Caenorhabditis elegans: one gene and its partners. The protein of the gene in region 2 purifies or fractionates together with the protein of the main gene of each other region. This does not show direct contact. Each region holds a gene or a part of one and is shown on either strand. Other genes may lie near its edges.

Region 1 (5,152 bases), on a different chromosome or scaffold from region 2:
AAAATGTTTTGTAATTGTAAACTAATGTGAGCCTTCAAAGAGTACAGTAGCGGAATGTTCACAATTTTTGGCTATGTATTTTTTTAACAATTGAAGCAATCAAAACATATTTTAACAAAAAATACGGGAAAAATTAAATTCGCACACATTTTTGTCTTTAACGAAAGATTCTTGCGTCAAAAATCGCAAGTTTTTGCCTCAGAGTAATAATAAGCTAAACATTTTAACCCCTCATCACAAGTGGAAGCTTACAAAAAATAAAAATTTTGCAGAGAAATGTCAAAGAAATTGAAGCCATTCGAAATTTTAGAGGATTCGTGTGCATCAGTATGTATTTGGCTTAACGGTGAACCTACGGCAATCAGCAATCGCGCTGAAAATTTATGGAATAAGGCCAAATATCGAGTTGCAACTGATGGAGCTGTTAATGAGATTCTTAAAAGGTGATCTAGGATCCAGAAATTGAAAATTATCGTAAACCGAGTTTTGGATTTCAGAAAGAGTTTCGTCGAATGGCCTCATATTATCTGCGGAGATTTCGATTCAATAAATAAACAGATTGATACAAAAAATGCAAAGTTAGTTTAAATTCTACTGAAATTAAAAATTAATATAGGCATTACTCAACTTCATTGTAATCGTGTTTCATGTTTGATAACATCTTCTATTAATGAGCAATGATAGAATTACTGTAGGGTTACTGTAGTGATCACAAAGAATTATTACTGTAGCGGCTGTTGAATATTAGCTAAAAGAATATATAGGCGTGAACGTTGAAAATAAAATTAAAATATTATTGAGTTGTGTTTTTAATACTGGAAGACTGAAAGCTACAATTCGTTGAGAAGAGTGTATTGACCAGGTCATAATAATGATTTTGCACTTTTTTTGGTATTTCTGGCTTGCCAACTAAATGTTATTCATTCTGTGTTCAGGACTAAAAAAATAAAAATATTTTGTCGAAAATTGTTCTTAATGTTGTTTTAGAGTCGTCCATCTGCCTGATCAAGACTACACAGATCTCTCGAAGAGCGTTCAGTGGTGCTTAGAGCAGAAAACACTAACAAGCTGGGAATTCGAGAATATCGTTGTTCTAGGAGGTCTCAATGGACGATTTGATCACACCATGTCAACGTTATCATCTTTAATAAGATTCGTTGATTCTCAAACTCCTGTGATCGTTTTGGATTCTAGAAATTTGGTTCTCGCTGTTCCTACAGTAATCCTTGGCAGGCCTATGTGAACATTAAGAGTTAAATTCAGGGGGATTCAAATCTTGATGTCAATCTTGAAATGACAACAAAAATGTGTGGAATCATTCCAATTGTTCAAAAGGAGACAATCGTCAGTTCAATTGGACTAAAATATGAAATGGGTATAATCCAATGTTTCAACATCATTTCTATTAAACGTTTCCATTTCAGAAAACCTTGCTCTTGAATTTGGAAAACTTATCAGCACGTCGAATGAAGTTACCACGAGCCAAGTATTTTTGAAATCTTCGTCGTCTCTGATTTTTTCAATTGAACTTGAAAATTGGGTCTACAAACTTGATTCTCTATAGTATCACATTTTATGGTCCCTCTTAATTCACAACTTTTCATTCCTTTGCTATTCAACTGTTCTATTTTCTTTTTATTCCATTTTTCCTAGTTTTCACCGGTACTATATAATTATCTACAATATTATAATACACTTTATTCCCTGTACCATTTTGTGTTGAAAACGAATTAATAAAAATAAAAACGAATTAATAGTATGAGATTAAAATTTTCATTTTAAAAGCAATGTTATTTGTTTAAAAAATATCCAATTCTAATGAATTATCTGCGAATATCCGATAGCGATTTCAAAAATCTAATGAAAATTGAAATTCAACTTTAAATCATTTGTAGATCAATTTTCTGATGCTTCTATCCACTTTCAAACGACATCTACCAATCAGGCGTCTCTTCTCATCAAATAAATTTGATCTGATTGTAATTGGAGCAGGATCTGGAGGACTTTCTTGTTCTAAAAGAGCAGCTGATCTTGGAGCAAACGTGGCATTAATTGATGCAGTTGAGCCAACTCCACATGGACATTCATGGGGAATCGGAGGAACTTGTGCAAATGTCGGATGCATTCCTAAAAAGTTAATGCACCAAGCAGCAATCGTCGGGAAAGAGGCAGGAATAATATTATAAATATTTAGAGCACTAAATTCAAAATTCCAGCTAAAACACGCAGACAAATATGGCTGGAATGGCATAGATCAAGAGAAAATCAAACATGATTGGAATGTGTTGTCAAAGAATGTGAATGATCGAGTAAAAGCAAACAATTGGATTTATAGAGTTCAATTAAATCAGAAGTATTTTTTTTAATTTTGTGGAAATTTTTATTTTTATGAAATTTAGAAAAATCAATTACTTCAATGCCTATGCCGAGTTTGTGGATAAAGACAAGATTGTGATAACTGGTACAGACAAAAATAAAACCAAGGTACGTTTGGAAAAATGAAAAAAGAAGTTTTAAAAAATTTGTTCCGTATACCCAAAAGTTTTGCGGCTTTTCGGAGGAGAATACGGTATCAGGTCTCGACACGACAATATAGTTTTCCGAAAAAACATAATTTATTCTAACAAGTTGTGATAAAATCTATAAAAATAATCTATAAAAATTCCGTAGCAACAAATGTTTGAGATGACAGTACTCGTTAAAGGCACAACTTTTCGCATTTGACAAAAATTTGTCGCGTCGAGACCTGGTACCGCATTTTTGGCGCAAACTTTAGGTAATAATAATATTGCTAGGAAACGGAAAATTAAAAAATTTCATCCTAGATTTTCAGAATTTTCTTTCCGCACCGAATGTAGTCATCTCAACAGGACTCCGTCCCAAATATCCAAATATTCCTGGTGCTGAACTTGGAATCACTTCAGACGATCTTTTTACACTGGCATCAGTTCCCGGAAAAACTTTGATTGTTGGTGGAGGATATGTTGCATTGGAATGTGCTGGATTTCTTTCTGCATTCAATCAAAATGTTGAAGTTCTTGTGAGATCAATTCCTTTGAAGGGTTTTGATAGAGATTGTGTGCATTTTGTCATGGAGCATCTGAAAACAACTGGAGTGAAAGTTAAGGAACACGTGGAAGTAGAACGTGTAGAAGCAGTTGGCAGTAAGAAGAAGGTTACATTCACTGGAAATGGTGGTGTTGAAGAATATGATACAGTTATTTGGGCGGCTGGTAGAGTTCCAAATTTGAAAAGTTTGAATTTGGATAATGCTGGAGTGAGGACTGATAAGAGATCTGGGAAGATTCTAGCAGATGAATTTGATAGAGCTTCCTGTAATGGTGTATATGCCGTTGGAGATATTGTTCAGGTACGATAAAAAAAGTAACATTTTTTTAAAATAAAAATGATAGTATTCAGGATCGCCAAGAGCTCACGCCACTTGCTATTCAATCCGGAAAACTTCTAGCTGATCGTCTTTTTTCAAATTCCAAACAAATAGTTCGATTCGATGGAGTTGCCACTACAGTATTCACGCCTCTTGAACTCTCAACCGTCGGGTTAACTGAGGAAGAAGCCATTCAGAAACATGGAGAAGATTCGATCGAAGTGTTTCATTCTCATTTTACTCCGTTTGAGTATGTTGTGCCACAGAATAAGGATAGCGGTTTTTGTTATGTGAAAGCCGTGTGTACAAGAGATGAATCGCAGAAAATTCTTGGTCTTCATTTTGTTGGACCAAATGCCGCAGAAGTAATTCAAGGTAATTGATTCAAAAAGAGAAATAGTCCGCCCCGCCCGTCACGAAAATGTTTTCTGAACACCTTCAATTTTGGAACAATGTTCGAAAAACCATAATCTGTTCGCAAAAACTTACGTGCTAAATCTGTTATTTTGAATTTTTTATCTTTTTCTTTATTGAATGAATAATATTACACATACGCAAAATTCTGCTATTTTTGCGCCAAAAATACGGCTTGATACGACAATTTTTAATGCAAAGAAAGTGTGCACCTTTAAATAATACTGAAAATTTAAACTTTCGCTGCTGTAGAATTTTTATCGATTTTTTAAAGATTTAATCACAACTTGAGACAATTAATAAATTTTTATCAAAAAGCTTTAAAAATCTACAAAATTTCTGCAGAATCGAGAGTCTGAAACTACAGTATTCTTTACAGGCGCGAAAAAATTTTATCGTGTCAAGTTCAGGTACCGTACTTTTGGCAATCAACTCACAATATTCTGCGGGTAGGTAATACTAACAACCTCGATAATCGATCAAGATACGAAAACTTTAAAAGCTAACCGATTGCACTAAATTATTTCAGGCTACGCAGTAGCATTCCGTGTTGGAATTTCAATGTCTGATCTTCAAAACACAATTGCCATTCATCCATGTTCTTCTGAAGAGTTCGTGAAGCTTCACATTACAAAACGATCTGGACAAGACCCAAGAACTCAGGGATGCTGTGGATAATTCAAAAAGTTTATTGACAAATCATTCAGTTTATTTATCAAAGTTAATTTACATCCTATTATCCTGGATACTAGTAATTATAATTAAACATAATAAATAGTACAAAATATTTGATTATCCTTTTTAAAAGATACCGGGAACTACATATTCTTAATGCGCATCGTGCTCATGGATGGGATCACATGTCTGACGAAGTGTCGAAATACGAGTTCCAGAAGTTGTTAGAATAGATATCACAGATGTTGTTGAACTCCATTTCTTCATTGGCTTCGAAACATTCTTCTTATGGAACTGGTGCTTCCGAAGCTCAGCCTTATAACGATCATCAAACATGATTACATAATTATCTGGCTCACAGAGTTGTACTCTTTGTTCCTTCTCTAATCCCCGCGTGAAAGCGTAAAAGTTTTTATAACCTCCTTCCAACAAATAAATCTCCTCATAATCACATCTCGGATAGATATTTGAATTCAGTTTTCTGTCCACTTCCCGAAGGTTGTTCGCCATGGTTGGTCCACGTTTTTGACTGTATTCACAGTAGAAAATGGGTATCCGGTTGATTTTCTTGGAACCATCTTTGTTGAAGAAGAAGTCTGCAGCAGTTTCTGGATTGAACAGGCTTTGAGCTCCCTGAAAAGATTTGCAGTTTTAACTTTCTGGTATTTTTTCAAA
Region 2 (4,165 bases):
GTGGAATTTTACAAAAAATTTAAAATGGTTTGATTTCAGCAAACTGTTTCTGTCCAAGAACTTGGATTCAATACAGGCCAAGCTATGACGACGAGAAGTCTTATAAATTTGGAATTTGCATCCGAGCCGAAACTATAACTGCATCATGGGCAAGTGCAAAGATCGCTTGCCAGAATAGCATTAAATATGGTTACCTTGTAACCGAGTTTGATGATCGGAAGCATGATTTTTTGTTCAGTGAGTCATTCATACAAGTTTTCCAGTGCCAAAGACTTTGCACAATATTTAGAATTCCAGGAATAGCTCTGAACAATGCTGAATTCACTGAACCTTACGCTTATCACACCGGGTTGAGCTATGTCAACGGAGCATGGAGATGGCAGCAGCCAGAAGGACACCCACTCATTTTGGTATAACAGCTTTAGCTTTATTTTTCCTCTCTGTCTGGCAACTCAATATACTGTAATTCCAGCAAAATGGAAGTTACTCGCATTGGAATCCAACATATCCGAACACCCCATTCACCAACACCGTTGTCGTTAATCATCAGCATAACTCGAATCTAGACGTCGGATGGCAAAACATCAATGGATACCGAGAAAATGAGAATTATATGTGTGAAGTTGCATCATGTGATACTGATAAATATTGTGATTGAATTTATTGTACATATATGTATGTATTTTGAATTAGTTTGCTTATCGAAGTTTACCAATTTTCAGAAAATCGTACTTAGGTAGTATAGAGTATCGAAATCTGAGACTTTGCTGTTTTGGAGCCAAAATTACCCAAAAAACCGAATTTCGTATTGAAACGTTTTGAAAATTTCTTTTAAAAAAGTTATGGCGGTTCAAAGTTCTAGAAAAAAGGATTATTTTCAGCTAAAATAACATTGTTTGGAACTTAATTTTTGATTCAATTGTCACTCTTTAATAGATATTGTGGTCTTTTACTAGGAGTTTATTCGTTGATTTAAGTCCTTTTTCGGCCAGTGGGGCACAAACAAAAATTACATTTTTGTGTCTCACAGACCTTGAATGTACTCAAATCAACGAATAAACTCCTAATAAAAGAACATAATATTTATTAAACAGTTTAAATTAAATATGCTGTGACACCGAGAAGTTGACAAAAATTTTGATTTTACAATTAGCTAAAAAACTAGCCTTTTTTTCATAATTTTGAACCTCCATAACTTTTTTTTTCGAGGAATTTTCGAAACGTCTCATTACGAAATTCGGTAGTTTTGGGTCATTTTGGGTCTAAAAAAACAAAGTCTCAAATTTCGGTACTCCACCTTTAATGGTGTTCGGGACCTCAATATGTGCCTATTTTGTATAAAATCCCACTAATGTTTCGTAAAACAATATCCGAATCAATGCCGACACAGAAATATTTTTCTTCATAACTATAGGGAATATACATAACAGTTAATTTGAAGACACATGCCTTTTAATTTATCAGAAAGTCGAACCACACAATGATGTCAAACTAATACTCATTATCAAATGTCAATAATGAGACTGATTGCATTGCAAAAAAGTTTAAAAGACGATCGAAACTGCTTCTTCATTTTTCAGCAGCGCCATGTGGAAAGTGCTTGTGTTGCTCTGTCTGGGTAAGATTTTCTAAGGACTGTTTTTTACGGGTCAATATACTTTCAGCAGCATCGCCAACTCTATCCGTCAGTGACAGACGATGCGGCACGAACGCCAACAAACTTTGGCTGGATGTGGTATTTGTCATTGACAACTGCAAAATAGGAAGTATGAACCTTGTCTATCAGACGATTTCCAGTCTGTTCAGCAAGCAACTGCAAATTGGAACTGGGTATGATGACCCGAGAAGTACCCGAGTCGGATTTATCACCTATAACTGGAATGCGACTGATGTGAGTTTCAAGTTATAGTTAATGTACGAGTGAGACACTAAAAATGAAATGTTTCAGGTCGCAGACTTCTACAAACTTCAATCTTGGGCCGACTTGAACAGTCAGATTCAGCGCCTCCAATACACTCCACAATCAAGCTCCCCAGCTAGCAGAATGGATACGTAAGTGGTGGCAGAGTTTTGGAATCTAAAAATCTAGGCCATCTGATTTCAGAGGTCTTAACGCCGCAATCGGAATGATTGATGCGACCGCGGGATTTCGTGACAATTACAAGAAAATTGTAATTGTATTTACATCGGTTCATGGATCTTATAAAAGCAATCAACCTCGTGATGTGTCGAAAATTCTTAAAAGCCGCGGGATCCCGGTGGTGACTGTGAATACTGGGTCAAGTTCCGATACTCAGGCGTATCTCAAGCAGATTGCCAGCGACAATATGAGCTTCGCAATTGCCGACGGAAATGTTACCCAAGAGATTTTGAAAGCAATGACGGATAGTAAGTTTGAAAGGTCCAGCTCACGTGGTGCCAAAGTGTCCCATTTTGGTTTGATCTTCGAGAAATGACAGACTTTTCAACTTATTTCGCATGGTTAAGAGTGTGCTGACGTCACATTTTTCTGGAAGGAAAAATTCCCGCATTTATCGTAGATCAAACCGCAACGAGGCAGCCTTACACCACGTAACTTTTCTCCGTTATTCAGCAAACTGCTTCTGCGAACAAGGTTGGGTCCAATACAATTATCCATGGAATAACCTTCAAAATCGCTACGGAACTTGCCTTTACACTGACACAACCGATTATTCCAGTAGAGATGGCGCAAAAAGCAAATGTCGACAATATAGTCCGAAGAGTTATTTGGTGAATGAGTTGGATCAACAGAAGCGGGATTTCAATTTCAGTGAATTTTCGTGACTTTTTTTTTGAAATAATACGGGAACACAAAATTCGGAGAATTCGTATTGCACAACATATTTGACGCGCAAAATATCTCGTAGCAAAAACTACAGTAATCCTTTAAATGAATACTGTAGCGCTTGTGTCGATTTACGCGATTCTGAATTTTCTGTAGTATTTCGTTTTTTCAAAATTATTTTTGGGTTTTTCAAAAAATATTTTTTCGATTAATGAATGATTTCCGATTACCGTAAATCGACACAAGCGCTACAGTAGTTCTTCTAAAGAATTACGGTAGTTTTCGCTACGAGATATTTTGCGCGTCAAATATGTTGCGCAATACACATTCTCAGAATTTCGTGTTCCCCTAATAAATATGAATTTAAGATTTGGTCAATTCCGACTCCACTAAACCGGTCAACGCATTTTACAATGGTCTATTAAATCTCAATGGTAACTGGTATTGGGATCAGCCAAACGATAGATCACCGATTCCGGTACTCACTTCTGTGTATTTTTTTTGCTTGAAAACTATAAACTATATTTCTAGCTCGACCCCAACTCTGGAGCTCCACCAACTCGCAACGCTTGTGTTGCTGATATGAAGTATTCAGATGGAACTGTAAGGCTAACTTTTTTAGAACAAGGGCTTGAGAAAGACTTGGATTTTCAGACCGCGTGGACTCCGGTGAGCTGTGCGAATAACTTCCGATTCATCTGTGAGCAGGTCGCTTGTGATACTGATAATTATTGTGATGGTGTTTGAAAAATTGTGGAGAAAATATAAAGTTATTATTAATCGCATTGCTTTTAAATTTCTGAATATTTAGCACATTGAAAATTAAATTATTAAGGACAATAAATATCATCGAGCCTATACCATTCATTTTTCTGAGATAATGTACTTATCAAAACCAAATAAACCGAGATATAACTTTTCAAAGAAATGTAGTCGTGCGAAATCAGGGGTGGGCGGCAATTGCCGTTCGGCAAATTGGCAACTTGCCTGCTTGCCGATTTGCCGGAAATTTTTAATTCCGGCAATTTGCCTGCTTGCCGATTTGCCGGAAATTTTTAATTCCGGCAATTTGCCTGCTTGCCGATTTGCCGGAAATTTTTAATACCGGTAAGTCGCCGAATTGCCGGTTTGCCGATTTGCCGGAAATTTTCATTTTCGGCAAATTGCCGAATTGCCGATTCGCCGGATATCAGATTTGCTGGAAATATTTAGAGGGATCTTTTTATAAGACAAAAGCATTTAAAACTGTGTCTTTTTGAAATTTAAAATAAAAAAAAATCAATTTTTCCGAAAATTTTCGGCTAATTGCCGTTTTTCCGGCAAATTCGGGAAAGCGGCAATTTGCCGGTTTGCCGCTTT
Region 3 (4,998 bases), 6.6 Mb from region 2:
TTTGATGCATGAATTCCAAAAAATAAAAGAACTCCAAGAATGATGAGAACACATCCAACCCATCCGATGACATACCAAGAGAATGCTGTGGAGGTAAGTGCACAGAATTGTTGCACATCTCCACCGCACATTCGAAGATTCTGAAATAATTCATTTGTTGACTTTAATTTTCTCAAAATGATAAAGTTGTTGTTCATAAACTTTAGGAAGAATACTCAAAAAAATCCCAAATTTTAACATTTCTCCAATTCAACCTACATATGTAAATGTGGAACTTATTAAATTGCTTTCTTTTGAGAATCCTAAAACTTAATACTCACCGAGTTGGCAAAGGACGAAACTAATGGCCAGAAAACATGAAGATCTATACAGTCACCATCTGTATATCCTGGAAGATTCATGCAGAGCCGATCGAAGAAATAATAAAATATACAAAGCCAAGATACAATTGAAATAATGAATAGCCATGCAATTATCTGAAAGTTAGTTTTAAAATTATACGTTTACTGAGCAATTCTTACTAGAAAGAAATCGATCAACATTGCGATGACGCATGCAAATTTTCCACCACAGCGAGCTTCATCGTCTGAAAATATTGTACATAAGTTCTCCTAGATCATTGTCATTTTGAACCTTTATACATAGTTTCTCTTGTTCCTCCAGTTGCAGTAAATCCGATGCATAAGAAGAAAAGTGAGAATAGTCCCATTAAAACTGCGATTACAATAAAGAAAACTTGAACCTTGTCAAGCCATGGCCAATCATTTATTTTCAGAGATCTTCTGACTTGCTCTGCAGTTGCATTAAATGCCCAGGACATCATAATTGCAAAGAGAATAACTCCAAGAATGCATAATAATGATCCAATAAGTGATGCATATGGTATTCGATGAAAACAGTCATCTTCTTCTGCGTCCGCATTCAAATGAACGACGGCGGCGTTCTGCGAACGTCTTTGCGCCGCCTCTTTCGTTGATCTTGACACTATTTTGACAGTTTGAAAAATATTATTTCAGATGAAAAATAAGAAACAAATGTAGCCGTGGAATAATTGTAATAAGCAAGTGCAAGCGGGCACCGGGGCAACAAAAAGGTATGTATGAGTGTGTTTGTTTGTATTGCGATCGAAATTGGAAACGGACGCGGAAAGGTGAGATAGTGGGTTGGGAACAAATTTAAATATTGAGACGCAGACAGCTCGCCACGGATGGTCAGTTTTAGCGGAGGAAAGCAGAAAGAGGAGAAGATGATGGTGAGTCATGTTTGCATGATCTTCGATGAGAATGTCGCAAGGTGCCATTTGAAAGTTGGAACAACTCATGTATGACGCAATTTTACATTTCCTCTGGGTGACTTGTGGTGTTATTTTCAATTTATTGAATCAGTAGGAAACACACACATTTTAAAATGAATGTGCATGCAATTGTGATGTACGATGAGCTGCAATCATGAACATCTGGGAAAAAGAGTTGAAGAATACAAAGGAGTCTGCTGCCGTTTCATTGAACACTTTTCAGCGGCACCTGCCAACCGGATATACATTGAGAATTTTTTTGAAAGTGGAAATATGAATATATACAGGTTACTGTTTTCTGAGAAATGGTTAAATTTTGTTAAAATTATATTCAGGAGTTCTTTTTTTCAAAGAACTTCTTAACTTTTTCATATATGGTGACATGGGTTTATCTATCACACAGCCTGAACGCGGTCTTCACAATTGATTTTTTGAGCATTTTTAGGTGGCATTAACTGTAGATGACCTCGTTTTCATCACCTCTCGCAAGCCCTTTTGAGTTTGAGAAAAGCTTATTGAGACTTATGTACTAATATCAAATATTATTCGCAGTAGAATTTGAGCGCTAAATAAATGAGTTGGTGTTTGTGCTCAGTTTACTTCACAATTTGCAAAAACGAAATACATATAAACACAGACTACACAAACTTGTTTGTCCCCTTTTTTACCAATTTGCTCGCCCTCTTATCTATGTCCTACGGTGTAAATTGGAAAACAGACTATCTTATCATTCTGAAAAACGATTTAACTTTAACATACATGTTACCTCATTTTTCTGCAGCGTTCTTCTTGAAAATGGCACGGTTTTTCCTTTTTTTGGCGTTTGTGGAAGTTAATTCTATTATTTCACCTCCTAATGAAATTATCGAAACATCTGTGGAAGTATTCAATCAGTGGAAAGAAACTAGAAATGCGTTTATGGATTCAATGGGTTAGTTTATTAATCGTTCCATCTAACCCTTCAAGTTCCGTGTTACAGAGTACCCAATGGGCTTTCCAAACTTCAATTGTCCCCAACCTCATCGAAAATCTTCCGAATCTGTACATCAGCTTCATCCATCACAAATTGGAGTGATAGCAGCACTAGGCGATTCTGTGTCAGTTGCACAAGCGGCGAAATCATCGTCAATTCTCGATTTATTTGATCAGTTTCCTGGTGTTTCGTTTGTAACAGGAGATGATGTAAAGCTGAATGAGCAAGCCACCTTTATTAGTAATAATTCGTTTTGACTTTCACTTACTTGCAACAGAAGCTTTTCAGATATTTTCCGTAAATTTGCACCGCGAATAAAAGGAGGATCCTCTGATTTTGTTCAAAAGTTTTACGACTTTAACATGGCGATTCCTGGCTCATTCAGCTCGGAGCTTCCCGAACAAGCGCTCAAATTAGCAAGTACATTGAAGAAAAAGCTGGGTAGAGAAACATCTGATACATGGAAATTCGTTAATATTTTCATCGGTCATAATGACTTGTGTAACATTTGCAATAATGAGGTAAAATAACCATTTCACATCGGAGCTAATTTTCATTTCCATTAAAAAATATTTCAGACTACCTTCGGGCCTGAAACATTTGGAAAGTCACTTCACTCGGCACTTACAATAATTCAAACAAATGTTCCAAAGGTATTCGTTAACATAATGCCACCAATAAATGTCAAAATTCACTCACAAGCTCACAAGTTGAGTAAGTTCTGCGAGTTTTCACATAGGTTTGTTTTTCAAAATTAAAAAAAAAATTAAACATATAATTACAGAAAAACATGCTCGTGTATTTTTGAATTAAATGAAAAAGAATATCAAAACATCAAGAAACAATTCGATGAACAATTGAATGAAGTTGTAGAACAATTCAATCAAAAATATGGAAATTCATCTACATTTGCTGTTGTGATTGCTCCAGCCATGGATCTAAAATCAATTCCGTTACTTAAAAACCAGCCGAATATTGGACTATTGGCACTCGATTGCTTCCATCTTTCTCCAATTGCTCATGATATTGCTGCGAAACAAATTTGGAAAGGATTGTTCGAACCAATTGATCAAAAAACAATCACTAATCAATTATCAGTTGGATTCGATAGATTCGTGTGTCCTCCTGTTGAATGTCCGTACCTAAGAACGATTCAAAACTCTGAAAACTGTGAGCCATCAAGAGAAATGAGATTTCTCCGAGTTCCTTCAGCTTTTGCAAGCTCTCCTGGTTTAAGCATGCCTCCATACATGATTCCTGTATTTTTCCTTTTTGGTGAGTTTGGTCTGGGAAAAAATACGTTGCTTATTTTTTTGTGAGGCGGCTTAGATTAAAAGCAGCTGCTATAATAATCAATAAAACCACTTTTCAAATATTTTCATTGGGAGAAAGTTTCCGTTTTCGCTTTTTCAGAGATAAGAGATATAAAATAAAGGGGCACCAATAAACATATTTTCTCAAAAACGCTAGACGCTAATTGCCTGCCCTCAAGGCACCTACGCCTGCGTCTTGTGTACTACCAAATTTGAACTTTTTCACTTTTGAAGATTATGTAAACATACTATAAGAAAAACGGTTTAAAAATATATCAAAAATACTCTGCACGGTGAAAAAATCTAACACCTGAGTTCAAGCTAAAGTTCAAGAAAAAAGGCATAGATGTAGGCAGGTAGATATTCTGTCACTTATGACTAAAAATATGTCTTAGCATTATTCAACTTTTTATATAAACCGAAAATATTTTGTTCCTAGGTACCGCTCTAATACTCCTATTTGTTCGTGCTTCCATCCGCAGTTCTACGACGTCTTCCGAGTTTTCCGATGAACGACATCATCTACTTCTTCCGCTGCGTGCCGACCTCAATGACAACATTTTCTAAATGGTTTCTAAAATGTACTCATGCCACTTGATGAGACAGTTGCGTGAACGATGAGAACGTCTAGATTTCCACTTTTTATAACAACTACCAGCACCCTTCTTACTCTTCCTAATGATGTCACACCTATGCGGGTTTTATTTCGAATGGCGTAATGCATTCTATCTCACTACATCCATTAATGTTGCCTACTGTATTTATTGTTTTGTGTAGACTACATATCAGTCCCTAGTGTAGTATCATAATGAAATGGCAAAGAGGAAATAAATGGAAGTGTGTCTGTATGTACATATATATCTCCAAAAAGCGATTCATTCAGAAAGAGACAGAATCGAAATTGAGAGAATGAAGAGGAGAAGGAAACCCGATTGTGATTACGTAACCGAGTTTCTTTCAGAATCAATCATAGTGGACAGAGGTGATAAGATAAATTGAGGTAAAAAGATCCGATGGACATGAGAACCAGAGATTTATTATTACGTCATCTAAAGTTCAAAATGGCTTTAAGAAGTTAGGATACTCGATCATAAAATGTTCTTATTAGGTGACACACATTTAGAATAATGAGTCCGATCATATATAGTCAGATATTCTCTTAGTTTTCCTCATGTTTCCATCAACTTTAGTGAAATTTTCCGAAGAAATCAAATCTGAGCCCCTGAAATTTCCATCAGAAACTGTTTCAGTACATTTTTTGCTGAATTCGGTATTGTTAGATTTTATTTTTTTAAATCTTTACAGATCATTTTTCCAAATAGTATGAGATTGTTTTTCTGGAACTCCAAATATTCAATCCTCAGGCTATGCATAGATTTCTAGGTTTGCTAGAGTTGATTGAGAAGTTGCGGCGAATT

What was found. Proteins that work in one complex are often made in the same cells at the same time.
Region 1: the proteins of clec-65 (region 2) and trxr-2 fractionate together in Caenorhabditis elegans (co-fractionation; one large-scale study listed by BioGRID). This does not show direct contact.
Region 3: the proteins of clec-65 (region 2) and F13H8.11 fractionate together in Caenorhabditis elegans (co-fractionation; one large-scale study listed by BioGRID). This does not show direct contact.

Annotation. Positions count from the first base shown.
Region 1 is NC_003281.10:8,911,874-8,917,025, forward strand, and holds trxr-2 (putative glutathione reductase 2), read left to right. Parts: upstream 1-1,895; 5' UTR 1,896-1,907; coding exon 1,908-2,168; intron 2,169-2,216; coding exon 2,217-2,353; intron 2,354-2,399; coding exon 2,400-2,484; intron 2,485-2,833; coding exon 2,834-3,370; intron 3,371-3,420; coding exon 3,421-3,763; intron 3,764-4,331; coding exon 4,332-4,480; 3' UTR 4,481-4,586; downstream 4,587-5,152. Other genes in the region: tpk-1 (thiamine pyrophosphokinase 1), read left to right, coding at 277-443, 498-578, 988-1,219, 1,264-1,375, 1,425-1,564; M-phase inducer phosphatase cdc-25.3, read right to left, coding at 4,631-5,110.
Region 2 is NC_003280.10:12,899,745-12,903,909, forward strand, and holds clec-65 (C-type lectin domain-containing protein), read left to right. Parts: upstream 1-1,580; 5' UTR 1,581-1,587; coding exon 1,588-1,618; intron 1,619-1,664; coding exon 1,665-1,891; intron 1,892-1,948; coding exon 1,949-2,052; intron 2,053-2,104; coding exon 2,105-2,388; intron 2,389-2,593; coding exon 2,594-2,791; intron 2,792-3,174; coding exon 3,175-3,284; intron 3,285-3,337; coding exon 3,338-3,409; intron 3,410-3,460; coding exon 3,461-3,553; 3' UTR 3,554-3,592; downstream 3,593-4,165. Other genes in the region: clec-64 (VWFA domain-containing protein), read left to right, coding at 40-237, 298-410, 473-658.
Region 3 is NC_003280.10:6,257,047-6,262,044, reverse strand, and holds F13H8.11 (Lipase_GDSL domain-containing protein), read left to right. Parts: upstream 1-2,023; 5' UTR 2,024-2,089; coding exon 2,090-2,225; intron 2,226-2,273; coding exon 2,274-2,507; intron 2,508-2,555; coding exon 2,556-2,788; intron 2,789-2,845; coding exon 2,846-3,006; intron 3,007-3,051; coding exon 3,052-3,542; intron 3,543-4,019; coding exon 4,020-4,147; 3' UTR 4,148-4,432; downstream 4,433-4,998. Other genes in the region: nmgp-1 (Neuronal Membrane GlycoProtein), read right to left, coding at 1-140, 321-476, 522-586, 634-823.